Callithrix jacchus: one gene and its partners. The protein of the gene in region 6 interacts with the protein of the main gene of each other region in a pairwise test. Links are inferred from orthologs where the notes say so. Each region holds a gene or a part of one and is shown on either strand. Other genes may lie near its edges.

Region 1 (2,717 bases), on a different chromosome or scaffold from region 6:
TATTTATTTTGAAATTCTGAAACTTTACAATAATTGTGCTGGATACTTGGTAAGCCATTTCAATCTCAAGATGTGTGACCGTTAATTCTAGGAATGTTAATTGTATTATGTCTTTAATAATTTTCTCCTCATGCTTTCTCTGTTCCTTTTGGAACTCTTACTGGTCACATGTTGGACTTCCAGGATTAACTTTCTAATTTTCCAATCTTATCTTTTCACTTTCCATCCTCATCTTTTTTCCCATTCTGAGAAATTTTTGACAACATTTCTATTTGATTTTTATTTTTAGCTATCAAAGTTTAAATTTATAGTTTAATAGTTCTTTCTGGTTCTCTGGTTGTCCTTTTTTCACAGTATACGCTTCTTGTTTTACGGACACAACCTCTTCTAATACTCATTTTGTTGATACGATTTCATGTTAAAAAAAAGTTTTCTTCCTCTATCTGCCTTGTTGCTGCTTCCTGCGTTTTTTGTTTGTTGACTTTTTGGGCCCTTTTTCTTGTTAGAGCTTTAGCAAATATTTGATGATTCCTGGCTGTCCTTTCATATTTAATCTTAAGTGGGGCTTGTTGACTAAGGACCTTCATATTAAGGTTACTAAATAGCCTTTTAATTAGGGTTCTCCAAGGTATCTGAGGGCTTTTCTCTAGACTGCTCCATGTATCCAAAGAACCCCTCTTTTTCCTAAGAGGATGCCAATATGCTTGATACTCTGGGGGCTGAGCAGGAGAAGGGGGCTGACATTTCCATAATTTGGTATGTACACTTCTACTTAATCCCCATTTTCAGTCCCCAGATTAACCCCCAAGTTTCACTTGTCTGGATTTCCTGAGTCGGAAATTTGTCTGGTTCAATTTCTCCAGAGAATAAATCCTTGTTCTTCTCTAAGTGTGCTTGGGTGTTGGACACTTGGATGTGCAAGGTGGGAGGAGCTGTGGGGTCCTGCCTGTTTTCAGTCCTGTACCTCCTTACTTTGCACCATCTGGTACTTCCAAGCACTGAACTTCTCTGGAGTTCTGCTGGGAAAGCAGCTTGCCTCTCAGCAGTACGCTCTTTGCAGGCCCTTCGTTTGCCTCAACTCTGGCAAGTCAGTTACCACTATTGCTCCTTTCCTGTTCTCTTTGATCTTGCAGATTAGTACCCTTTTCATTTTCTTACTGTTATTCTAATGGAGACTCAGTAAGGAGACAAGTGCCAAGTTGAAAGATCAGTATCCCTTTTACATTACAGGCTGAACCTCCTCGGAAGAGCAACTGGAGACAGAAGCACGAATATTTTATCCGTACCCTCCGCCAGGCTCGAGAGGTCCAGCAGGTAATTGCCAAAGGTGGAAACCCTTCAGACTTGCCTCCCATCCTGCCTTCAGAAAACCCAGACTACATTCAGTGTCCTCACTATAGCCGCCACTTTGCTCCCAAGGTGGCTGAGCAACACATTCCCAAGTGTAAGACCATCAAGAACCGCCCTCCACCTCCAAGGAAGCATTACAGTTGAGCAGATGACAGTGGAAACTTTTGGATAGTTCAGAAAGCTCTGCTTTTCTTTAGGAGTAAATGGGAGTAGAATTTGATACAAAGCAGAAAGAAACGAAACAGCTCCCAGATCTGCCTGCAAAGCTAAAATCTGAGGAGAGAGCCACTGCTAAGCAGCAGGAGGCAGAAGGAAGCCCCAGCTTCCCACTAAATTACAACCTCAGCTGGTATGCTTTATGTTATCGCACTCAGAATTGATGGGTGAAGACACTGAAGAGTTGGGAACAGGCTCCATTAAAGTTCTCTTCTTGCATGCCTGACTTGTGGTTTGTGCTAGTGAAGTGCCTGCATCTGGTTGTGCCTTCTTGTCACTGCATGTATGTCCATAGTTCCTGTTAACTCTTGCTTTTATAGAAGTTGGAGATATTAGGATGTGTTGGTGTCAGAGGGGCATGATGACCGAGATGGTAACTCATTTATAAAAGACAATACAATTTTCCTGTAAGACATTATTAATGAAAATCTATCCTTGGTCTCTCTGGTGCATGATCCTGGCCAAAAACCAATACAAGTATGTGAGGTTAAGGCACCAGTGTCTCCTAACCTTCCCTGTGGTGTACTGTGTAATAAAGGAAAGATCTTTATGTACTTCACAGGGTGGGGATGGGTGTTGCGGGGGGCAGATATTATACTTCTCTCTACTTGTTCTTTTCTAATGCGTTTCATATGTTAAAAAAGAAAGAAACCTCCATTTTAGTTGTTACTAGCACTCTACTTTCAAATTGGTTGGGCTAAATGACTGTTTAGAGGCAGCAAAATCTACCATAAAAGTGAGCTGAGACAGGCTGGGCATGGTGGCTCATTCCTATAATCCTAGCACTTTTGGAGGCTGAAGTGGGAGGACTGCTTGAGGCCAGGAGTTTAAGAGCAGCCTTGACAACAAAGCAAGACCCCATCTCAAAACAAAACAAAGCTGGGACATTGCACAGTGTCACATGCCCTTGCAAATTGTAGCACAGTCAACTTCTATTTCAGAGCATAAACTTTGAAGGGAAAGGGATCAAATCTTTTTAATTTTCTCTGTGTAGCTATTGCCTAGCACAAGTTAGACCCTCAATTAATGAGATCTGGAGATTTAAAATTAAACAAAAAGAAGACTAGTGAAATGAGAGAACTGATAAGTTAATGTCTGTGAGAGTATTATCGATTCAGATAGGAGTGAAGTTAGCACAACAGATAGAAATC
Region 2 (3,500 bases), on a different chromosome or scaffold from region 6:
CAAAATTCTGATGTTTAGGTTTCTTTCACAATCCTGTAGCAGGTACTATGGTTCTTCCAAGCAGTCCTGAATAAGTTATATTTATTAAATATTCCTAAGCCAAGCTTATGCTTTTGTCTGGCCCTTTTGCTATACTACTTCCTTGTTGTATACTAGCTATATTCTCTTCCCAGGGTCTCACTCTGTCACCCAGGCTGGAGTGCAGTGACACAATCTCAGCTCACTACAGCCTTGGCCTCCTGGGCTCAAGTGATCTGCCCTCAAGTAGCTAGGACTACAGGTGTGCACCACCACGCCCAGCTAATTTTTATATTATTTTTAGTAGAGATGGGGTTTCACTCTACATATTGCCCAAGCTGGTCTCAAACTCCTAGGCTCAAGCAGTCCTCCTGCCTTGGCCTCCTAAAGTGCTGGGATTACAGGCATGAGCCACCACAACCAGCCTCTCTTCCCAGGGCTTTTAAGTGGTCAAAATATAATATATGCTATTCTTATGGGGTTTTTATTGTTCAAGGTTCAATCCATTAAACAATAAACAGATTATCTACCTAAATACTCCACCTGTCACATGAAGTTTAGGAAATAATCTCATTTCTTACTTGTTCTGCCATTTATCTGGCTTTCTCATCCAGCTAATAATAAGTAAAAAAACCTTTTTTTTTTTTTTTTTTTGAGACAGAGTTTCGCTCTTGTTACCCAGACTGGAGTGCAATGGCACAATCTCAGCTCACCGCAACCTCCGTCTCCTGGGTTCAAGCAATTCTCCTTCCTCAGCCTCCCGAGTAGCTGGGACTATAGGCGCGCACCACCATGCCCAGCTAATTTTTGTATTTCTAGTAGAGACAGGGTTTCACCTTGTTGACCAGGATGGTCTCGATCTCTTGACCTCGTGATCCACCCACCTCGGCCTCCCGAAGTGCTGGGATTATAGCCGTGAGCGACCGCGCCCGGCCTGTAAAAAAACTTTTACACTGAACTCTTTCAGATGAAAATAGGGAGAGAGAAAGACTCCAGTTCCAACTAATCCATTCCTCAGTTTGAACGGAGAAAAGACAATGTACCAGAGAACATGGTTGGCCACAGACAGAAAGAATACATTAACTCCCTGCCCCTGCCCCCAAGAATCTTATTCTTTGGAGGCCCTGGTTCTAGGGGCAGAAGAGTCAGCATTCTGGAAAACCTAACAGTAAAAGTGGAAGTAATAATCCCATGGCCCTACCCAGGAAGTGATGGTGCTGTGCGAGTCAGCATTCTGGAAAACCTAACAGTAAAAGTCGAAGTAATAATCCCATGGCCCTACCCAGGAAGTGATGGTGCTGTGGTCAATGGGCTTGCTGGGCACCTGTCGAGTGTGAGTGATGGGAAGCTGTGTAGATGCATAGCGGTGTTTGGGGCCCTCCAGTGGTTGTTGGTGGAACAGCAGCTGGGCTTTCTGGGAAGGCTGGCGGCGTTTTTTTCTGGGAGGCATCAACCGGTGAATGAGGAACAGTTAGTAACCACATGATGCTGATAGCCTTCGGGATGGGAGATAGGCTCCAATTCCAACCCATGCCTGTAGAGAAGAAACAAACGCTGGGAACAAATATTCCCTAGATTTTCCTGATCCTCTGCCCGCCAATTCTACTGTAAATCTCAAGGTTGTGGGGAGCACTGCCTCCTAAAGTCTATGCCACCAATCAAAACACAGTATTCATATTCAACATTCATCTAACAAACATTTATTGAGTATGCACTAAATGTCATGCTAGGTGCTGGGAATTAAAAGATGAATAACCATTTATTAAACAATCATTTACTGAGTGCCAAACACTTGTAGTGATACAGAGCTCATCCCTGTTTCAAGGAGCTGAAAGTCTAACAAAGGGAAATGGACATTCACAACACAATGGGAGAATACAATATGGTTCCATTCATTCCAAAGGAAGCTTTCTGGAAAGGGAGATACCTAACCTAGGTATGGAAGGCCTAGAAGAAACAAAAAAGCAAGGACACTCCAACCGGAGGAAGAGCGTACACAAAGGCACAGAGACAAGAAGGAGTATTGTGAATTCTGGGAATTACAAACTCAATGTATCTGGATAGAGTATGAAAAGATAAATGGCAAGAACTGAGGATAAACATGGTGTCAGGGTGAGGTGAAAAAAACAGATGACATGGCCAAGTGTGGTGGCTCACAGCTGTAACCCCAGCACTATGGGAGGCAGAGGCAGGCAGATTACCTGAGGTCAGGAGTTTGAAACCAGCCTGGCCAACATGATGAAACCTCATCTCTATCAAAAATACAAAAATTAGCTGGCCGTGGTGGTGCATGCCTAAGGTCCCAGCTACTCAGGAAGCTGAGGATCACCTGAACCCAGGAGGCAGAGGTTGCAATAAGCTGAGATCACACAACTGCACTCCAACCTGGGCAACAGAGTGAGACTCTGTCTGAAAAAAACGAAACAAAACAAAAAGGATTAGCCAAGTGTGGTGGTGCTCGCCTCTAATCCCAGCTACTCAGGAGGCTGAGGCAGGTGAATCGCTTGAACCTGCGAGGTGGAAGTTGCAGTGAGCCAAGTTCGCCCCACTGCACTCTAGCCTGGGCAACAAAGCAAGACTCTATCTCCAAAAACAAACAAACAAACAAACAAAAACAGATGACACCATATGAGTTTGGACTTTATCCTGAGTAGTCATGGCAGATTTTCAAGCAGAACAATTTGATCCCACCCGGCTTTTTAAAAAATTTTTCACTCTACATAACATCAAATACACACTGAAGTAGACTGAATAATATAATAATGGGCCCTGTGTACCAAACATCCAGCTCCAAAAACTATCAACCAGGCTAATCCTGACTCATCTATACCCCTAGCCACTGCTTCTACCCCCGCATTATGTCGAAGAAAATATGTTCTATTGGCCGGGCACAGTGTCTCATGCCTGTAATCCTAGCACTTTGGAAGGCGAGGAAGGCAGATCACCACAGGTTGGGAGTTCGAGACCAGACTGACCAACGTGGAGAAACCCCATCTCTATTAAAAATACAAAATTAGCCAGGCATGGTGGAGCATGCCTACTCAGGAGGCTGAGGCAAGAGAATCACTCAAACCCAGGAGGCAAAGCTTGCGGTGAGCCAAGATTGCGCCATTGCACTCCAGCATGGGCAAGAAGAGCGAAACTCCATCTCAAAAAAAAAAAAAAAAAAAAAAGTTCTATCATTCCCATGAATACGACTAAATAAAAACATAAACTCCTTAACATTATCAAATACCCAGCCAGTCAGGGAATAAATTTTTTTTTTTTTTTTTTTTTTTTTTTGAGACTGGGTCTCATCTGTCACATAGGCTGGAATACGGTGGCACAATCACAGCTCACTATAGCTTTGAGCTCCCAGGCTCAGGTGATCGTTCCACTTCAGCCTCCCAAGTAGCTGGGACTGTGCCACAACACTGGCTAATTTTGTATTTTTTGTAGAGATAGGGTTTTGTCGTGTTGCCCAGGCTAGTCTTGAATTCCTG
Region 3 (3,500 bases), on a different chromosome or scaffold from region 6:
GGCACAGCTAATAAAAGGAGTAGGTTAAGGTTTCCGAAATGATAAAAAAGAATGAATTGAAAACTAGATAACAATTCTGAAATACCAAGTTAAGATCTTGAACAAGATAAACTCTATAATATCATGGGATGCTACCAGAATGAGTAATTCAAGAAAGTACAAGCAGACTGCCAGATTCTTTATATCACCGTTGGTATAAATAACACCATACTTCATTATTTGGACAAATGAGGAATGATGTCTAAATACTTTCTTAAAGCAATCTCGTGACAATTTGAAATGTGTAATTATAATAAAGCTAACACATTATTTGTGTAGAACTTTAATAAAAAAAAAAAAGCACAAACATATCTTTGTAATACAAACCAATTATTGTTATTATGACCAATAAGGACTAGAGCATTGACCAATGCCTTAGATTTCTTAAAACTGTCTTTATTAGAAAGAACTTTAAGGCCAGGTGTGGTGGCTCACACCTGTAATCCCAGCACTTTGGGAGGTCAAGGCAGGTGGATCACAAGGTCAAGAGACCGAGGCCATCCTGGGCAACATGGTGAAACTCATCTCTACTAAAAATACAAAAATTAGCTGGGCATGGGGGTGCACACCTGCAGTCCCAGCTACTTGGAAGGCTGAGGCAGGAGAATCGCTTGAAGCTGGGAGGTAGAGATTACAGTAAGCCAAGGTCATGCCACTGCACTGCAGCCTGGACAACAAACAGAGCAAGACTCTGTCTCGCGAAGGGAAGGGAAGGGAAAGGAAGGGGAGGGGAGGGGAGGGGAGAAGAAAACTTTTAATTACCTTAAAGGTATGAGCCACATCTGGTACAATTTGCTATTCTGACCGATGGGTGAGGTGCACACATAGTAAGAGCTCCCTAAGTACGTATTACTGGGTGACTTACCTGACCTAACACATTACCACTAGGGGCTTTTATAGCTATGTGATTTCATAACTTCTCTTTGCTTAGCAAATGAAAAGGGAAAAAATAAGATCAATAATTATTCTTTGCCTTTTGGCTAGGGGATTAGGAAGAAAGTGCTTGGGACAATCTCCACTCAAGCCATTTCTTTAATCTTCTAAATACTAACCAGAAAAACATTATCCCATGTCTTTCCCTCCTCTTCCTCTATTTCCTGGTTTAAATCCAGTATTTTTAGAACACTGAAGTATAAAAATGATAGAAAATAATAGTAATCAAATAGATAAATAGAATGTGCCAGAAAGAATTTTCTTTCCCTTATAGTTTAGTTGTAAATCTCCCTTTTAAAATCTTTTGCTATAATGCATACTTAGGTTCTTACTTTTTTTCTTTTTTTTTTGAGACTGAGTCTTGCTCTGTTGCCAGGCTGGAGTATAGTGGCGCAATCTCGGCTCACTGCAACCTCCACCTCCTGGGTTCAAGTGATTCTTCCGCCTCAGCCTCCCAAGTAGTTGGGATCACAGGCATGTGCTACCACGCCCAGCTAATTTTTGTATTTTTAGTAGAGATGGGGTTTCACCATGTTGGCCAGGATGTTCTTGACCTCTTGACCTCATGATCTGCCCACCCTGGCCTCTCAAAGTGCTGGGATTACAGGCGTGAGCCACCAAGCCCGGTCAGGTTTTCACTTTTTAAATTAAATACAGAAATATATGGAAATTCGGTCATACACACACACACACACACACACACACACACACACACACACACAAAACCCATGAAAAAAACAGTGAAGGAATTTTAAGGGTAGTTATCTTTATACAGTGAGGCTAAATGTAATTTTCAGTTTCTTCTTTATACTTTTCAATTGCTAAGAGAGAATAGGTAATATTTTTTGCAATCAGGAAAACATGTTACTATAATTGTGAAAAATGTAATTAACTCTTTTTTTGAGATGGAGTGTCCCTCTTGTTGCCCAGGCTGAAGTGCAATGGCGTGATCTCAGCTCACTGCAACCTCTGCTTCTTGGAGGCAGAGTGCTTCTCCTGCCTCAGCCTCCCAAGTAGGTAGGATTACAAGCATGCACCACCATGCCGGGCAAATTTTGTATTTTTAGTAGAGATGGGGTTTCACCATGTTGGTCAGAGTGATCTCAAACTTCTGACCTCAGGTGATCCGCCCTCCTCAGCCTCCCAAAGGGCTGGGATTATAGGTGTGAGCTACTGCGCCCGGCCTAACTTTTGATTATTCACATTTAGTTACATTTTACATTGCCAATATTTATCTAAAATGGCTCCTGACACCTAAAATATTCATGCTCACAAGGTATGTTATCGTAAGAAACAAATTTCACTGATAATCTAAACAAAATCATTAAATATACGGATTATGAAAAAATTTCAAAATGAATTCTGAAGATAAATATTAAAGACTTGGCATAGTTAGCCTGAAGTGAAATTTTGTTAGTTTTTGTAAATTTAAGATTTGGGCCTGAGAACACAACTGCTTACTACACAAACCCATAACTATATAATTCTTTCTCCCTACTATGAAGTTAAATTTCATGTTCTCAGAACTATCATTTCCCCAACAGACACTTAGTTCACCATTGTATTTCACACAAACAGATGTCTTTCCCCTACCCTCACCTGTGGCTTTCTTCAACTGCACTTCCATTCTGACTTCATGACCTGGCCTTTTAAATTCCAGAAACTCCAGAATTTAGTGATACATATCACAGAAGAAACTAAGGAAATAACAATTATTTTGTTATAATAATTAATGGAATTGTAAACATAACATTCTTTGCTGATAGAATATGCAAATTTGTATACACGGATAAATTCTCTTAAGGGAAACATTTTGGCATCTTTTCACCCCAAAAATGTTATGTAGCATAAGGTAAGAAGAATCCATTGTCTTTAAAAGTTCTTACCTCATCAAATCCAGCAGCTTGTAAGTCTTGAAGCATTTGTGGATTAACTTCTGAAGTACTACGAGAATTTGTTTCATTTGCAAATGGAAGCAGAGAATTTCGAATTTCCTGCAAGACTTTATGATGTGTCCCAAATTTGGGTGGATTTCTGACTTGTCGAGGATCTTCAGTTGACATTTTACTCATGTTATGCTCAGCCTTAGTAGCATCTGATGGTTTAGATAAATTCCTAAGGGATTCCCGAATTTCTTTTAACATTTGTCGGCTACTGCCAGTATAGTTACTGGCAGGAAAGGTCTTAGGCCTCATTTGTCTATATCCTTCTGGCTTTTCACTCCTCTTCATGAAAACATCTATATATGTAGCCCACACGAAAGACTTCTTTATTTGATAGATCCAGAGCTTTCTTCTGAGCAAAAATGAAAATGATCCTTCAAGGAAGTCCCCAGGACTATTAAAATTCTTTATAATATAAATAATTAACTCTATAAAAAAAAGAAAGAAAGAAAAGCTATAAAGTGATTAATAAAGCATTTTAGAGGAAAAGTCCATTGACACAGGGGTTAAGAGACTCAGGTTATAGTTCTGACTCCATTAAGGATTACTCCGGGATCAGAACAAGTTACTTATCTCTCCATGCCT
Region 4 (4,023 bases), on a different chromosome or scaffold from region 6:
CGAGGTGAGTGGATCACCTGAGATCAGGAGTTTGAAACCACCCTGACCAACAAAGTGAAACCCCATTTCTAAAAATAAAATAAAAACATTACTAGGCAGGGCAAGGTAACCTAAGAGCTTTTGGAGGCCTAGGTGAGAGGGATCACTTGAGGCCAGCAGTTCAAGAGCAGCCCAGGCAACATAGGGAGACCTCTTCTCTATAAAAATACGACTACTACTAATAATAATAAAAATAGCCAGGCACGGTGGCTCACACTTGTAATCCCAGCGCTTTGGGAAGCTGAAGCTGGAGGATGAATCACTTGAGCCCAGGAGTTGGTTTTGGTGAGCTATGATTGCACTCCTGCTCTCCAGCGTGGGCGACAAATAGATCCCGTCTCTAGAAAAAACAAACGAACAAAAAAAACCAAGTAACAAAAACATTTCTAGTCCCCACCTATAGAGATTCTGCTAAGACTAAAGTGGGGCCCAGGACTTCTAACATGTTCTAACGTGCATTTCTACCGTGTTCTCCTGGCGTTTTTGGCCTCTAGTCCGCACTTTGAGAACCGTTGTTCTAGAGAAAACTGAATTTCCCAGAAAGGTTCTGGAAGAATAGGTAATGGGCTTTGGAACTCTGCTCTGGAAACTAGTCAACGCCCATGTTAATCCAGAAAAGGGCAGCACTGTACCAGCACGTCCTCTGTGCTGGTTGGTCCAAGACGACCGAGTAGCGGGCGACAAGCACAGCCTATGAAGAAGGGTTAGAAACACATCTACATCAGACCCATGGGGAAGAGAAACGCGAGAACCTTTGAGAGGGGATGCTGCGGGGAGTCTTTAGGGGCAGTCACTGAGCTGGGCCTGGAGACTGAGTAGGGTCCTACATGGGGGAATGGGTCAGGTTTAGGGACGAGGAACAGCATTCGAAACCGCAGGACCAGCACCAGTTGAAAAACCTAGCTAGCAGTGAAAGCAAAGTACGGAAACAGCCTGCGTTCAGGGTGCTATGTGAATTAACCAGGGCGCCTGCGCAAACGGCAAAGAGTTTTCCCCCCGCCCCCGCGCCTCTCTCGGTCAGACTGTCGCAGCAGCCCGCAAACCTCCAAGCGCAGGCCGCCGCACTTATCCGCAGCAGCGCCACCCGCAGCCGGTGGGGTGCGCTCTTCCAAGTGGCCGCCCAGCTCCCTGCCAGCCTGCGCCTGCGCAGATCTTTAATGGTTCTGTCGGGGACACCCCTGGGCACTCCGGATTAAGATGGCGGCGGCTGCCAGGCGGGGCTGGGGAGCTGCGGCTGTTGCCGCGGGGCTGCGCAGGCGGTAGGTGACGAGCCTGGAGCTCCGAAAAGGGGTGCGGCTGGGCTTAGCCAGCGGAGCGGTCGCCACCTTGCAGACCCTTTCTTGAGGCGGGTGGGTAGTGCATCTGATGGAGCCGGCGGGTCCGCAGTTCGGGGTGAGCCCTGAGGTGTGTGGCTGTAGGTGCAGAAGCTCGGAGCTTTTGTGGCCTAATCCGGGCTGACTCTGTGGAGCTTTGTGTCGGGCTCAGAGACCCGGTGCTTGAGTCTCTGTAGAGACTGGCTATGGAGCCAGAACGGAGGAGCTGTTTTTAAATCATGTGCCTCTCTGCCCCCAGGCCCTTTGCCAGGTGCATGTCCTCTTTTAAACACAGAATCAAACTGTCACGCAGAAGGGAAGAAAATACCTTGTCTCGTTTCTTCATTTTCCCAGTAAGGCCCTGAAAGAGGAAGTGACATGTCCACGATCACACAGTTTCTAAGTGATGGAACTCCGAAGAGAATTAAGACCCCTAGATGCCCTGCACGCACCACCATTAAGCCCACTCCGTTCCCTTGCTTTTCTTCCCTGAGCCGTACCTTTGAGTTTCACCTTCCAAAGACTTCTCGGAACATTGCTAAGAGGACATTTATGTAGGTGTACCTTGATTTTACTTCTGGAGAAAAAGCCTACAGAGAATTTGCCCTCGAGTAACAGACATTTTAGTGTTAATGATGTATTGAGGTTTAAATGTATATCCTAAAAAGATTTAAGTTGGTAGAAGGATTTTTTGTTAGTTACCTACTGTGTTTGAGTAGACGTCGTCCTTGAATAATGTAATCCACTCTTAACTTAAAAACAAGACTTTAAACCCATATGTCGGAATGTGCTGCTGCTTTGTTCATTCTGCTGCCTTTTCCCTGGGCTGAAGGGACGAGAATATTATTCTTCCAGTGTATTTCCAAATTCCAGTGCATCTGCAGATTCAGGTAGTGAGCTATAGAAAAAGGTATTTTTACCCCAAACCTTGGACTTCACTCGTTTAATTAGAAATTTTGGGGCACCAATTACATAAAATGGTAGCAGCTGCCATTTATTGAGCACTTACTGCATGGCCTGGCACTGGTTTAAGCACTTTACATGGATTTTTGGATTCTTTATGAGGTAGCTGTGAAATTAATTTTGTTGTGAGATGAAGAACTGAGGCCATTGTGCTAGCAGCTAGAAATGAAGACAGTTTCTCCATTTGAGTATGCAGTCTAGCAAGAAAGATATATTAACAAGTCGTAAGTGCTGTAATAGATTCATATAATTTAAAGTGGTGACAGCTCTTACCGGGATCAATACTGTTTGGAGCTAGTGTGGGGAACGGCAGTCAGGACTTCACAGATTATTTGAGTCCCATTCAGTGTTGACTCCGTTGTTCTCTTGAATCCTCAGTGCCAATCCTTTTATCTCTCCAATAGCATCTAAGAAACTGTGGGTTACAGTCCTACAGTATCCTAGTAAAGTAGCTTTGCTTATCAATGGCATATCAGGATTACTGAAGGTAGGAAACAGTTAATCTGTATTCTGTTAATCCTTAATTTGTGCCCACTCATTCTTTTCCACAAGCAGAATTCCAGTTTTGTGAGAGAAAAAAGTGACAGCCATCGTCTGTTGCTTCTTGTCTATTTTAAGCAGAAAATAATTAGATAAATCTTTTTTTTTTTAAGTGATCTTGTGTATGATCACAATTTTTGCCTTTGCAAAAAATTTTAACAGAAAATTGTGACAGTGAAAGACTGTTCTAACCAACCACCATTTTGTCTTTAACCTCTAGACTGCCCATTCCTGGGCTTGGCCAAGCCAACTTTGGGAGACATTTATAGTTCAAATGATAATAGCCCTTCCCCCAAATTAAACCACCTTTATAAAGCTAATGAAAGACCACCAGGTTTGGAGGTTGAGAGGAGCCTGAATTCTACTAAGGTATAGATGTAAATGATTGCCTGCCATTATTCTGGAGGTCATAAGAGTTGCAACTTCCCCAATTACTCCTTCAGACAACACTCTTGTGGAACCTAAGATTAGCCTTTTCAGGTTTTTGCATTTCTCACTGGTCTACCCACAAACAGACTAAGCACTCAGGAGGACCATTTTCCACACCCCAATGATTGCATCCTCAACCAATCAACAGCACCCATTCCCTGGCCTGTCAATCTATCCTTGAAAATCCCTCACCTCAGATTCAGAGAGACTATTTGAGTACTAAAACTCCAGTCTCCCTTTCTGCTGGTCCCGTGTGAATTGAACTCTTCATTGCAATTCCCTTGTCTTAATGAATTAGTAGTATCTGGACAGTGGACAAAATGAACCTATTGGCAATTATAAATGACTCCTGTGCTTAAAATTTTTCCATGGCTCCTATGAAGTGGCAATTGTAATGGATAGCAATGATATTTTCAAGTAAACTGGATTTTAAAGTAAATTGCATTAGGATTCTAAGAATTTTCACTATTAAAGTCTCCTTTTACTTCTTTTTCTAGTACTATTTGCTTTTCTTCCTTTGTTTTCAGTTTGTCAAAGCCATCAAAAATAGCCAATTAAGTTTTCTCTGTAAGAGTGAAGTAAAGTTACTATACTGGGTTAATATGTTTCCATCCAAAAAACATATAAAAGGCAGGGCATGGTGGATCACACCTAGAATCCCAGTGCTTTGGGAGGCCAAAGTGGGAGGATTGCTTGAGCCCAGGAGCTGGAGATCAGTCTGAACAACATAGTGAAAACC
Region 5 (4,104 bases), on a different chromosome or scaffold from region 6:
CTCCCTAGGCAGCACTGCAGAGATTTTACAAGTAACTTCTCACGTCTTTTTCATAGTTTTGAGTGGCAATATGGAATCCAACCTTGGAGAGGAAAAGGGATAGAGTCCGCAGAAGGTGAGAAAAGGCGGCATAGACGAGAGGAAGAGTTGGGGCGGGTAATACTCTAGACTGAACCCAGGAAGTGACCTTAATGACCCAGCGGGGGCCAGGGCAGTGAGGCTGGAGAGCGCTATGATCGTGACGTCTAAAGGCGATCAAACGGGCGTTAAAGTATAGCTGTGATTTGCAAAAGCAAAATGCATTCCTAGGGGTGGGAACCAGGGAGGAACCCAGGAATTGCCCCAACACAAGAGGGTGGAGCCGGCAATACAGCGAGGAGAGGGAAAGTGGGAGGGACCGTGGCTGAAGTGACCGGGCTTAGGGGACGAGGCGGGGCTTAGGAGAAGAGGCGCGGCAGGGAGCAACCTGAGCGAACTGGCGGCGGGGCTGATAGTCGGGGCCACAGTTCTCAGGGCGAAACTAGGAGAGACCCAGGAAACCTGAAACTGGGGGAGGCATGGCGAGCAGCTACTCACCCGGTTCTGCACCGTCTCCTCGGGGGCCGTCGAGAATCGCGTCCGCCGCCGGAGGCAGAGCGGTGGGGCGGGGGGCGGGGAGGACTGGCCCCTCCGCGCCGGAACTCCTGCCATGACAGAGGGCAGCTTCTCCCCCGCATCGTTCCGCGCATAGCTTCCGGACCCTACGGCCGCCATCGTCGCGCCGGAGCCGGGCGACCGTTACCTCCACTAACCGTCGCCGCCTCCACGACTCACTGGAACAGCAAACAACCGCGGGAAAGCCGGCGCCGCCGCCTATTGGACGCGACGGGCCCGGTCTGGCCAATCTCAGGGCTGTCGGGCGGTGCTTAGGCCCAATGGGGACGAAGAAGCGGAGCGAGTGCCTGGCGGGGCGGGGCCACAGCTAGTGTACAGGATGGGCCTGATCAAGCGTCGGGGGGGTCTTTTATCCAGACTGCGTTTTCATTATTCGCTGGAACATATAGGTTTTAACTTTTACGAGGCTAAGGCCACAGCCGCCTCACCTCGATTTTTGCCGCCACCCAGAGGAAGTATGTGCGCTCTGACGGTCTCCCGGATGTAAGCAAAGGGCGGGGCAAGTTGATTTGGTTGGCGCAAGCTCAGAAACGCCGTGAGGCCGCCTCTCCACCAACACGTGATGAAGGTCGGGTTGGCGAAGGGCCGGTTTTGCGCAGACGCACAGTACTCGCTTTGGCTCATTCGCCAAGTGATGAGGGCGTGGCTGTGGAACTGTGGAGGGGGCACCTAGTAGACCAGGCGCTCCCAGCTCTCCCGGGTACGTGACGAGACTCCAGGGACGTCACGTGAGGCAGGAGGCAAGCGCGCGGGCGAGGCAGGGTTCGGCGGCGCTCGGCGAAAACCAAAGTGCAGCCGCTGACCTGGCAAAACTCAGCGGGGCTGGGCAGCCATGCCCAAGTACTGCAGAGCGCCGAACTGCTCCAACACTGCGGGACGCCTGGGCGCGGATAACCGCCCTGTGAGCTTCTACAAGTGAGCGCAACACGGGGCGGGGCTTGGGGGAGGCGGGGCCTTGGGAGGGGCGGGGCCCGAGCTTTAGCGCTGTTGTGCGGGGCTTTAGGTCTAGCTCGAGGCGGGTTCAACCGTGAGGAGACTGCATACCCACAGTGGACACTGCACATGCAAAGAAGCAGGCGTGGGAAACAACAGGAGTACACAATTAACTACAGGTAGCGAACTGAGCGAACCGAAGAGATGTCCAGTCGCCCTCACCACGCATTTGAGCCATCTGAAACTAATAACATCCGAAACTGAGCTTGCGATCTTGTCTCCCCCAAAACCTTCCAGTTTGTCCCATCTTTGTACGTACTTCATTCTTGTTGCTTAGGCTAAAAAATATAGTCATCCTTACCTCTTCTCTTTCGTCATACTTGGGAAAGTCAGAATTAGCTTGGACTGTAAAAGATCTGTCCTCTTGTTTCTCAGCTGACATAAGCCAACTGGTGGAAGAATTACTAGGAAAAAAATTTCTTTCCTTTTTATTCTTTTTCTTTTCTTTTTTTTTTTTTGAGACGGAGTTTCGCTCTTGTTACCCAGGCTGGAATGCAATGGCTCGATCTCGGCTCACCGCCACCTCTGCCTCCTGGGTTCAGACAATTCTCCTGCCTCAGCCTCCTTAGTAGCTGGGATTACAGGCACGCGCCACCATGTCCAGCTAATTTTTTGTATTTTTAGTAGAGACGGGGTTTCACCATGTTGACCAGGATGGTCTCGATCTCTTGACCTCGTGATCCACCTGCCTCGGCTTCCCAAAGTGCGGGGATTACAGGCTTGAGCCACCGCGCCCGGCCTCCTTTTTTTTCCTTTTCTTTTTTTGAGACAGGATCGCTCTGTCGCCCCGTCTGGAATGCAGTGGCATGAACACAGCTCACTGCAACCTCGGTCTCCGGGCTCAAGTGATCCTCCCACCTCATCCTACCAAGCAGCTGGGACCAAGGCACGCGCCACCAGGCCTGGATAATTTTGGAAAAAAAAAATTTTTTTGGCCGGACGCGGTAGCTCAGGCCTGTTATCCCAGCACTTTGGGAGGCCGAAGTGGGTGGATCACCCGAGGTCAGGAGTTTGAGACCAGTCTGGCAACATGTGAAACCCGGTCTCTACTAAAAATATCAAAATTAGCTGGGCCTGGTGGCTTACACCTGTAATTCCAGATACTCAAGAGGTAGGAGAATCACTTGAACCCAGGAGGCAGAGGTTGTAGTGAACCGAGATCTTGCCACTGCACTCCAGTGTGAATGACAAAAGCAAGACTCTGTCTCAAAAAAAAAAAAAATTTTTTTTTTAAAAGAGAGAGATAAGATTGCCCTATGTTGCCCAGTCTAGTCTCAAAATCCTAGGCTCAAGTGATCCTCCTGCTTCAGCCTCCCAAAGTGCTTGGATTACAGGCGTGAGCCACTGCACCCAGCCAAGAAAAAATATTTTTCTTGGACATACTGCAGATGTAAAGTGGCAGAACTCCCATCCTTTGAGTGACTACTGCTTTCTTAGTAGAAAACGGTTGTCTAAAGTCAGAGATGATCACACACTTTGCTCTTTGAAACTACATCAAGTAAGAATGAAACAGCTCATTTTTGCCTGGAGGAGCTAAGTCACTTTGACACAGAAAAGCAGTTCCTATTTGCAATCCAGGTTTGGAGCTTCAGATAAGGAAACATTCTACATCGATGTAAACTTTATTGCTTCTGAGAAGACAGAACACTGGGCCCACATCACCATCCAGACCTGATATTGATCCCTTTACGCACAGTTCTGATTTGCTTTGAGCCAATCTGAACACTGCTTCATTTACATTTCACCTTAAAAATCACTGTTTATTGTGGTACATGGTGGGTCACGCCTGTAATCCCAGCACTTTGGGAGGCCGAGGCAGGTGGATCACGAGGTCAAGAGATCGAGACCATCCTGGTCAACATCGTGAAAAATACAAAATACTCTACTAAAAATACAAAAAATTAGCTGGGCATGGTGGTGCGTGCCTGTAATCCCAGCTACTCAGGAGGCTGAGGGAGGAGAATTGCCTGAACCCAGGAGGCGGAGGTTGCGGTGAGCCGAGATCACGCCATTGCATTCCAGCCTGGGTAACAAGCGAAACTCCGTCTCAAAAAAAAAAAAAAAAAAAAAAACTGTTGAGACTCCCTCTTCAAACAAAGGCCCATTAGGGCCTATGGCAGCGGTCCCCAACCCTATGGCACCAGCGGCTGGTTTTGTGGAAGGCACTTTTTCTACGGATGGGGTGGGGTTGGGGGAATGGTTTTGGGATGAAACTCTTCAGATCATCAGGCATTAGATTCTCATAAGAAGCAGGCAACCTACATCACTCACATGCCCAGTTCCAAATAGGGTTCACACTGCTGTGAGAATCTAATGCTGCTACTGCTCTGACAGGAGGCAGAACTCAGGTGGTAATGTGAGTAAGCCCCTGCTGAATGCAAAGAACCCTGACATATCTTGTCTTTGCCGTCACAGAGCTCATGGATAGGTGAGGGGTCAAACACTGAGGAACTGAAT
Region 6 (4,136 bases):
TGCAAGAATCACTTGAACTCCGGAGGCAGAGGTTGCAGCGAGCCAAGATCACGTCACTGCACTCCAGCTCGAGTGACAGAGTAAAACTGCATCTCAAAAAAAAACAAATAAAATAAAATAATTTGGTAAAAGAACAGCACTCTAGCCTAAAGAGGAAACTGGACCTCTTGAGGTGATGTCACAACTAACAGTCTCAATAAGGCCAGGTGAGAAGTATACTTATCAGGGGATCCCCTCCACTCCCTGTCCATCTTTCTCCTCTTCCCTAAAGCAAGGTGAAGCAGCCCCCATGCCAGGCAATACCGTTTGCCTCCAAAGCTGGGCCTCTCCTCATCTGAGTCTCGCTCTGCCCACACCCCATAGGTGGCTTCTTCCTTGGTCTGCCAGTGGCGCTGTCGGTTGGGGTTGAACTCATTCTGGAGATCCCAATCAGTGATCTCAAAGTTCTCCCGTTCATCATCATCATCATCAATGCGGTCTTCCCCATCCCGGTACAAGTGGGACAGTGACATGGCCAGTCACTAAAGGAAGAGATAAAAAGGGCACAGTCCATAATAAGTCCTGGGGGCAGCAGCAGGAGGATTCCTCTATTCCTTGCTGCCTTCAGAACTTTCTCCAAATTTAAAGTCCATTAAAATTGGCATTACTGTTCAATAAAGTAGATATTAAAAACATATTTTTAGAAAACAATCAGTACTAAAACGGGAAAAAAATACCAGTCCCAACAGTCTATGTTTCTTTAAAAGTATGTATTTCCTTGTCCTAGTCAATATCACAAATATCACACACATTCACACATACATAAACCACACAAAAATATCTAAGTAGGTTATTTTATACAGTATTGCTTTAGAAAATGAGTGGATATCTTCTTAGATCCCAGATTCCTTTACTTTTTCTATTACTGAGGTAAGAATTATATCTGGATCCTTGGTGGTCCAGGAGAGTGACTTTTTTAGAATATGCTTTTTAAAATACACTACTTGATGAAACATAATTTTTAGTTTTCATTGCAAGACATGTATTTCTTCTGATGAGCTAAAAAACTGTAGTAATTATGAACACTATTTTAATAGTCAGATATCCAGGGATTGAAATAAAGAATCTACCTCATGGTAGCTGGGGGATGAGATTCAGTTGTCTTTCTTAAATTGGGATAAACTACTATACCCACCTTAGAGAATGCTTATAAGGTGAATTCAATGAGTTCAAAATAAGTGCTCAAGAAACCATAGCTTCTACTGTAGTCCCATGATTAGGTTAATCATTGTATTAGTCAGGGTTCTCTAGAGGGAGTGAACTAATGGAATATATATGTATATATATATAGGAATATGTATATGGAATATTATATATTCTGTTCCATATATATAGTTATATATATTCCATTAGTTCTGTCCCTCTTAATTCCCATATATATATTCCATATATAAACTCCATAAACTCCCATATATATATAATATATATATATGGGAGTGTATTAAGGATAAACTCACACCATCAAGGTCCTACAAAAGGCTGTCTGTTGGCTGAGGAGCAAGGAGAGCCAGCCGGAGTTCCAAAACTGAAGAACTGGAAGTCTGATGTTCCAGGGCAGGAACCATCCAGCACCGGAGAAAGATGAAGGCTGGGAGGCTAGGCCTCTTTACATTTTTCTGCCTGCTTATATTCTAGCTGTGCTAGCAGCTGATTAGATTATGCCCGCACGATTAAGCGTGGGTCTGCTTTTCCCAAACTACTGACTCAAATGTTAATCTCCTTTGGCTACACCCCCACAGACACACCCCAGGATCAATACTTCATATCCTTCAATCCAATCAACTTGACAGTATCAAACATCACAATCATTACTATTATTGGACTAGGGAGTAAACTTAAAGTGATTGCAAAATCAGGCATGCTAAAATCAAAGCCTAACTTCAAATTCAACTCTACCAGATACTCAGTGTATGAGTATTAAATGCACACGAAGTGCCAAGCCTGGTGCACTACACAATAATACATTCAATAGGTGACAGCAATTGTGATTCTGGTCTTCCTGAAAGCGGCCTTAAGGCATAAGGAATTCCCTACTTCCACAGGCCAGTGTCAAACTCTGGTCAACTCTGGCAAAACGTTATCCTTGCCTTCTAGTCACTGGTGCCCTGGTTGGGTGCAGCTGGTCCCAACCTCTTCCAGGAATGTATACAAAGGAAAGGGTCTCAGAAGAGGTGGGGAATCTCAGATATATAAGGTTAAATAATACCAATGTCTCCGTGGACACAGGGAGTGGTGATAAGCCCTGAGTAGCCACAAATTATGAAGTCCTCATCAGTAGAAGCTAGGTACATGATGGTCGCTTGAGCCCTATTATCAACTGTGTGCATCAAGACACTTTTACAAGGCAGTTACCATTAATTTTCATGCTTCAGGTAAGAAAAGGGAGGTTCAGAGAAGTTAGTAACTTACCCTAGGTTCCACTGCTTATAGGGCTCAAACTCAGGAGCGCTAGAAGCCAGGCCTCGGGCTTGTCTCTCTCTTGCTGTCTAGGTTTGGCGAAGGAGGCTCAGGTTCTTGACTGACCCCAACCAGCACCGCCCTTCTCCGTGCCTCGACAGAGCTGTCTGCGAAATGGAATCCCCTCCCCACCCCTACATCGGCTTGGGCCGAGGCTCGCCTTCCCTGAGCCGGAGCCCTACTCCCACTGCCCCTGAGTCCCCTCGTGGCAAGCCCTACTCACCTCTCCGAGGCTCCAGCGTACCAAACTCAACTTCACAGTCCACGGAAGAAGGCAGTCTCTCCTACGCCAGACCCCGGATGCGCCGGAGTCGGCGCGCCGGAAATGACGTTGTCGACAGCGGATGTCGCGCTGGCTGCAAGGGCAGGATGGAACGCTGCGGCAGATTTGCCTGTAGAATGGCGGGCTGGGATCTTAGAAAGGAGGGGTGGATTTGCAAGGACCAAAATGATGGCTGGGGCGTGGTTTCCCCGTGAAGTGGGCCTCCCTGCTGCGCCTGCTTCGCACTGCGACGCTCAGCCTGTGATGACTGGTGTGGAATCCGCTGAGCCATCTTGGCCTAAGGAGACTTTGCCACTCTGAGATTGTAAATCTGTAAAATAGAGATGTAGGATTAGCCCATAGGGTAGTTGTGGTACATACTGTGAGATGATAGGGTGCCTGGGACACAGCATTCAATTGGGTATAATGAAGATCAAAACTGTGTCTCTTGTATCTTTGGCTCTGTCTCATAAGCACCGTCTTGGGCACAGGGCAGTGTCCTTTATGCAGGAGTTTAAGAGGGAATGAAGGAATAATGGGCAAACTCTAGAGTTCCCAAGTATTCTCTCCAGGAGACGTTTCCATTCTCATTTCCAGCAGGTTTGTAAATTCATTCATTTATTCACTGATTTAATTAAAATATACTGAGTGCCCCTCACCTGTGCTAGGCCAAGGAGATATAGTGAGCAGAATACTCCTGGGCCCTCCCTGGGAAGCCCTCACTATCCCTGGGCTCTGTGTAGACATTTAACTATACACAGGCTCTGGAGTTCCAAACTTGACTCTGCAATTTAGCAGCTGTGGACCTTGGGCAAGTCTAAGAAAACACGTAAGTGAGTTTTCTCTTCTGCAAAATGGCTAAGGATTCAATAAGATAAAACTGTAGGCCACAAAAACTGTGCCTGGCACACAGTAGGTGCTGAGAAAGAGTCAGCTATTAATTTTTGCTTATTTTTCTCTCTGCTCTATGTGATGAAAAGATCCAAGAGACAATTGTTGGAATGTAAAAAGAGCATGGGACTTGGAGTCAAATACTTACATCTACCATCAAATGGTTGTTAAGAATTAAACAATTTTTGTGTACCCAGTTAAATGTGGGTTTCTTAGCAATGGTGACTGTGTCTTAATGATCTAGTATTCCTAGTGACATGTAGAGTAATTGTGCCTGACACATAGTATGTACTCTGGAAAGAAATAGAAAATGTAGTTTTAGCATTGAAGCCTGGGAGAGAGGGTCTAACAGACTACAAGGCCCACCAGGAGCGAAGTGAGGGAAACAAGGGGAAAAAAGTGTTTTTAGTCTGTGCCTGAATGTATATACATCTGTTTGTAGCCCAAAAGCCAAAAATGTACATAAGCTTGGCTTTTCTGTTGCTAT
Region 7 (4,260 bases), on a different chromosome or scaffold from region 6:
ACCAATGTCACGGAAAGTTTAATCCAGTTTGGAACATGGCTCCTGACGCAGCTCTTTCTCTGAGACCCTGGACCACAGCAGATTGTTGTTTTTAGAGAAAGGGCATCACTGTCACCCAGGCTTCAGTGCAATGGCTAGATCGTAAGTCACTGCCTCTTTTAACTCCTGAGCTCAAGCAGTCCTACCACCTTAGCCTCCCAAGTAGCTGGGACTACAAATGCATGTAACCACAGCCAGCTAATTATTTTCTGTGGAGATGGAGTCTCGCTTTGTTGCCCAGGCTGGTCTTGAACTCCTGGGCTCAAGGGATCCTCCTGCCCCAGTTCCCAAAGTGCTAGTGTTAGGATTATAGGTGTGAGCTGCCATACCTGGCTTTTTCTTTCTTTCTTCTTTTTTTTTAAAAAGTAGCAGGGATCTGTAGTCTAGGTAAATTGACTTGCCAGATGTCCTCTAGCTGGTAGCCAAACTAGAAACAGTCTCTGTCTCCTGACACCCAGTCTAGTATTCCTTCTTTTTTTTTTTTTTTTTCTGAGACAGAGTTTTGCTCTTGTTACCCAGGCTGGAGTGCAATGGCGTGATCTCAGCTCACTGCAACCTCCGCCTCCTGGGTTCAGGCAATTCTCCTGCCTCAGCCTCCTGAGTAGCTGGGATTACAGGCACTCGCCACCATGCCCAGCTAATTTTTTGTATTTTTAGTAGAGACGGGGTTTCACCATGTTGACCAGGATGGTCTCGATCTGTTGACCTTGTGATCCACCCACCTTGGCCTCCCAAAGTGCTGGGATTACAGGCGTGAGCCACCGCGCCCGGTGTATTCCTTTCTTAATCATGCTGCCACTTCTATTGTAATCCTACTCTGCAGCAAAATGGCAGAATGATATCCTAGTACATCTGGGAAAAGGCACATGAAGCAAGAATAAGAATGTTTACAGACAGTATGACGGACAGCATGGCCAGCTCCCATAGCATGTCCTCTGCAAAGGCTTTCTTCCATCAGAATCAACCCACACTGCCACAGTGCTGGATCTCTACTTCCAGTTTGCGCTTCTTCATCTTGCCTCATGCTATGCTTTACAATCAGCTGGTGGTCAATTTATCTCCCCTCTTAGGGTTTTAGGTTCCTTATTAATTACAAATTTAAGTCAAGTTTGTCTTATTCACTATTGTCATCCCCATCCCTAGCACCTAGCACATTGCTTTATTGTTTATGCACTGTAGGAACTAATAATTGCTTACATAAAAATGAATAAGTTATGGAAACACGGGCCAAAACAGGATAAGATATTCCAGTGAGGAAGGCTCACCAGCAAGCAAGCCTGAGAAAATGGCAAGGATGGATCCTTACCTGCTTCTCCGCCCTGGCTCCTGTCTGTCACTGGAAACATCCCATTCCCACATCGTCACTTGAGGTCTTTGGGTGTCTGTCTGCCTCTCTGAGGCATCTTGATGGCCTGGGGGTTGGACCAGGGGAATGTCTGCGAGCCAGGTGGGAGCCATTTTTGGTAGAGTTGAAAGGGGCCGAGCTTGAAAGTGGGAGGGGGGAATTAGCCCAGTGGAACCTGAGGAATTACAAAAGCAAAGATGGTTAGTTTCCCAGGCAGAGGCAACCACCACTCCCCTTGCCTGGTCCCACTGACCTGAAGGTGGAAACATCTTCACATTATTTGAAGGCTCTAGATTCTGTCTCCAGCGATCTATATTCCCCTGGACAATAGGAGAAACATGGACACTCCAATTCAATTTTCAGGCCACCTTCCAAAGAGAAATCCCCTACAATAACAAAGTTATAATCCTAGAATTACAGCCAGGTGTAATCCTTGAATTACACCCAATGCTCAGCTCTTTTCCTACTTCCCCAAAGAAGTAGGAGATACCCCAAATTCACTTGCTTGTCTCAACCTGGTTCCTGATAGAACTCAGGCAACTAACTACACAGTGGAGAGAATTTACTGAAAGAGAGAATGAGAGGGGCTCTGAGGCTTTACTCATACTTTCAGGATTCTGGGCAATGCCTTTATCCTCCTTAAGTTTCTATGGTCCCTGCTGCTCCTAGCCAAAGGTGAGAAAGGAGGTACACAGTGCAGGGGTCTTGAGCGCCATCTCCACAATTCTCTCCATGGCTCAGCAAGGCCTGGGGGAAGCCCATCCAGACACCACCAGGCCATGACTCTTGGGTCCTTCCCTATTAAAGCGCTGGCCCAAGGCCTGGCCCCAGTTGAATGTGGCCACATGCAGGGTTAGACCCCTCCCCAGGACCTTGGGAATCCAGGCAGCCTAGATCCCCAAGCAGAAAAGCCAGTTTCCTGACATCTCATCCAAATCTTTCCTGGAGCTGTCCTCTTAGCTTCTCTCTACTATTCCCTCAGCTTCCATGCCCGCCGCCCAAACCCTCCTTCTAGAGTCCTAACACAGCGGGTACTTTAAGATCTTCCTCCCACCCTCATTCATCTATTTGTTACCCGAATCTGGAATTCCTACTCCTGTCCCTTTTTACATCCTAATCTACTTTTTTCTGAAGGAATTATTCTGGTCCTCACCCTCACCCCCATCTCTCAATATCCCCGGCACGCTAGCCGGCTCTGCTCTCCCCGCACCGTTCCCTCAGATACCCGAGGCTTCACCCTGTTGGCCCCTGAGCTCTAAGGCTGTTCTGATCTCCTCATCTGTCCCTTCACCGGACCCCTGTGCCCCCTTCCCCTTTGGACCCCTTACACCCTCCCAGCACCCTCTCTCAGACCCTTCCCGCCCCTAACCGACTCTTCCCGAACGTCCCTTACCCACCGCGAGAGCACCCTACTGCGCTTTGGCCACACCCCCTCCGCCTCGCTCCCGGCCCCGCCTCGGCCCCGACCGCGCCTGCGCAAGACGGGCGCTCTGAAGCCCCCATTTCACTCAGAGGACAGGAAAGGTCCACGCAGGCGCAATGGCGTCGAAAGCTGGGCTCAATGCGTCTGAGAGTCTCCGCGCCCAGGCGGCTCCTCCCCACTGCGGGAACCCGGGAAAACTTGTGAACTAATCAGAAAAAGCGGAAGTCAGGGGAGCTTGGGTCACCGTCCAATGGCGCAGAAGAGAACAAATAATCTGGCCAATCAGAAACGGCACAGGGGCGGGCTCACTCGGCGCGAAGTTCGGGCCCGGGAATTCCGAAGGAGGGGTAGGCTGCCTGCGCCCCAAGGCCGCGCCCCTCCAGGCCCCGGCTTCTTGGCTGTCAAACAGCTGCGGAAGTGTTGGCTCCCGCGGAGGAGCCCAAGGGGTCCTGGGGCAGCCGCACAGGCTGGCACTGCTTGAAGAGGAGGCCACTCGGAGACTGCAAGAGGAGATCCGAAACGCGGCTGAGGCCGAGGGAAAAGGCCGGGTATGCCATGCATGATCGCGGGAGCGCCTTCCTTTTTAAATCCCACCTAGAGAAGCCGGGAAGCAGGGGTTTAGGTCCAATTTGTTGGAGAACTTAAGGACTTGTTTGGAATTCCTTTTGGAGGATGACAGTGGATTCATTGCCCTCGGGGGTTCAAACTAGTTATGAGTGAGGGATTGGCCAGAAGATCGGGGCGCAGGCCAGCAGGAATGCTCTGTTAGGATAAGCAAGTTTGATAGGAAGAAGCTGCTCTTCTCCAAATTACAGAGAGGTGATGTGTTCGTATTGCACGTAGACTGTTTGTGTAACAAGACCTCCCCGCCCTGCCACCCCGACACACAAACGAGCTGCCTAAAATATCCTTGCCTTGCAGATTGGAGGTTCTCCAAATATTTTGTGACCTGAGGATCCAGCTCAAGTGAGGTGCCATAGGATGCGTTCCTGAGTTTGCATTGTATGGAGACTTTTCTGGAATCTCTCAGTAGCAAGTCAGCTTCACAACAAATTTTGCATTGAGTCCTAGACTGCTTGCAGTCTGAATTTGGACTACTTAGGTAGTGTGCTCAAAGTTGAAACTGGACACAGCACAACTCAAGTTTGCATCAGACTGGGAAGCAAACTTAAGCCAGTGGTGCGTGGCCCAGGAGTGGGAAAGGAAATGGATGCCTGAAGTGGAAAGGGTGGTGCAGAGTGGGCACCGCCCATGCTGCCCTGCTTCCAACTGCTGCGCATAGGGGGCGGCAGGGGCGGGGATCTCTACACCTTTCACCCCCCAGCCGGGGCTGGCTGCACCTACCGCTTGGGCCACAGGGCCGACCTGTGTGATGTGGCTCTGCGGCCCCAGCAGGAGCCTGGCCTCATCTCTGGCATCCATGCCGAACTGCATGCCGAGCCCCGGGGTGATG

The links.
Region 1: the proteins of TFIP11 (region 6) and ZC2HC1C interact in binary tests that used the Homo sapiens proteins (3 or more experiments, as listed by UniProt). The link is inferred for Callithrix jacchus from reciprocal best matches to the Homo sapiens genes TFIP11 and ZC2HC1C.
Region 2: the proteins of TFIP11 (region 6) and RHNO1 interact in binary tests that used the Homo sapiens proteins (3 or more experiments, as listed by UniProt). The two-hybrid records come from large-scale screens. The link is inferred for Callithrix jacchus from reciprocal best matches to the Homo sapiens genes TFIP11 and RHNO1.
Region 3: the proteins of TFIP11 (region 6) and LATS1 interact in a two-hybrid assay, tested with the Homo sapiens proteins (2 studies listed by BioGRID and IntAct). The two-hybrid records come from large-scale screens. The link is inferred for Callithrix jacchus from reciprocal best matches to the Homo sapiens genes TFIP11 and LATS1.
Region 4: the proteins of TFIP11 (region 6) and NFU1 interact in binary tests that used the Homo sapiens proteins (3 or more experiments, as listed by UniProt). The two-hybrid records come from large-scale screens. The link is inferred for Callithrix jacchus from reciprocal best matches to the Homo sapiens genes TFIP11 and NFU1.
Region 5: the proteins of TFIP11 (region 6) and THAP8 interact in binary tests that used the Homo sapiens proteins (3 or more experiments, as listed by UniProt). The two-hybrid records come from large-scale screens. The link is inferred for Callithrix jacchus from reciprocal best matches to the Homo sapiens genes TFIP11 and THAP8.
Region 7: the proteins of TFIP11 (region 6) and CCHCR1 interact in binary tests that used the Homo sapiens proteins (3 or more experiments, as listed by UniProt). The link is inferred for Callithrix jacchus from reciprocal best matches to the Homo sapiens genes TFIP11 and CCHCR1.

Annotation. Positions count from the first base shown.
Region 1 is NC_133509.1:109,990,105-109,992,821, forward strand, and holds the end of ZC2HC1C (zinc finger C2HC domain-containing protein 1C), read left to right. Parts: intron 1-1,230; coding exon 1,231-1,494; 3' UTR 1,495-2,217; downstream 2,218-2,717.
Region 2 is NC_133510.1:16,205,240-16,208,739, reverse strand, and holds part of RHNO1 (RAD9, HUS1, RAD1-interacting nuclear orphan protein 1), read right to left. Parts: intron 1,553-3,500; 5' UTR 1,469-1,552; coding exon 1,301-1,468; intron 1-1,300. UniProt on the Homo sapiens protein: Involved in microhomology-mediated end-joining (MMEJ) DNA repair by promoting recruitment of polymerase theta (POLQ) to DNA damage sites during mitosis.
Region 3 is NC_133505.1:156,481,968-156,485,467, forward strand, and holds part of LATS1 (serine/threonine-protein kinase LATS1), read right to left. Parts: intron 3,344-3,500; 5' UTR 3,204-3,343; coding exon 2,859-3,203; intron 2,670-2,858; exon of another isoform or gene 2,572-2,669; intron 1-2,571. UniProt on the Homo sapiens protein: Negative regulator of YAP1 in the Hippo signaling pathway that plays a pivotal role in organ size control and tumor suppression by restricting proliferation and promoting apoptosis.
Region 4 is NC_133515.1:44,443,632-44,447,654, forward strand, and holds the start of NFU1 (NFU1 iron-sulfur cluster scaffold homolog, mitochondrial), read left to right. Parts: upstream 1-1,223; 5' UTR 1,224-1,236; coding exon of another isoform or gene 1,237-1,298; exon of another isoform or gene 1,299-1,443; intron 1,444-1,706; 5' UTR 1,707-1,730; coding exon 1,731-1,906; intron 1,907-4,023. UniProt on the Homo sapiens protein: Iron-sulfur cluster scaffold protein which can assemble [4Fe-4S] clusters and deliver them to target proteins.
Region 5 is NC_133523.1:32,202,383-32,206,486, reverse strand, and holds the start of THAP8 (THAP domain-containing protein 8), read left to right. Parts: upstream 1-1,304; 5' UTR 1,305-1,486; coding exon 1,487-1,569; intron 1,570-4,104. Other genes in the region: WDR62 (WD repeat-containing protein 62), read right to left, coding at 577-753.
Region 6 is NC_133502.1:197,239,508-197,243,643, forward strand, and holds the start of TFIP11 (tuftelin-interacting protein 11), read right to left. Parts: upstream 2,801-4,136; 5' UTR 2,720-2,800; intron 2,631-2,719; exon of another isoform or gene 2,604-2,630; 5' UTR 2,449-2,603; intron 522-2,448; 5' UTR 513-521; coding exon 304-512; intron 1-303. UniProt on the Homo sapiens protein: Involved in pre-mRNA splicing, specifically in spliceosome disassembly during late-stage splicing events. Intron turnover seems to proceed through reactions in two lariat-intron associated complexes termed Intron Large (IL) and Intron Small (IS).
Region 7 is NC_133505.1:35,978,647-35,982,906, forward strand, and holds the start of CCHCR1 (coiled-coil alpha-helical rod protein 1), read right to left. Parts: upstream 2,801-4,260; 5' UTR 2,550-2,800; coding exon of another isoform or gene 2,538-2,549; 5' UTR 2,232-2,537; coding exon 1,992-2,231; intron 1,771-1,991; exon of another isoform or gene 1,705-1,770; coding exon 1,638-1,704; intron 1,560-1,637; coding exon 1,346-1,559; intron 68-1,345; coding exon of another isoform or gene 1-67. Other genes in the region: TCF19 (transcription factor 19), read left to right, coding at 4,059-4,260. UniProt on the Homo sapiens protein: May be a regulator of keratinocyte proliferation or differentiation.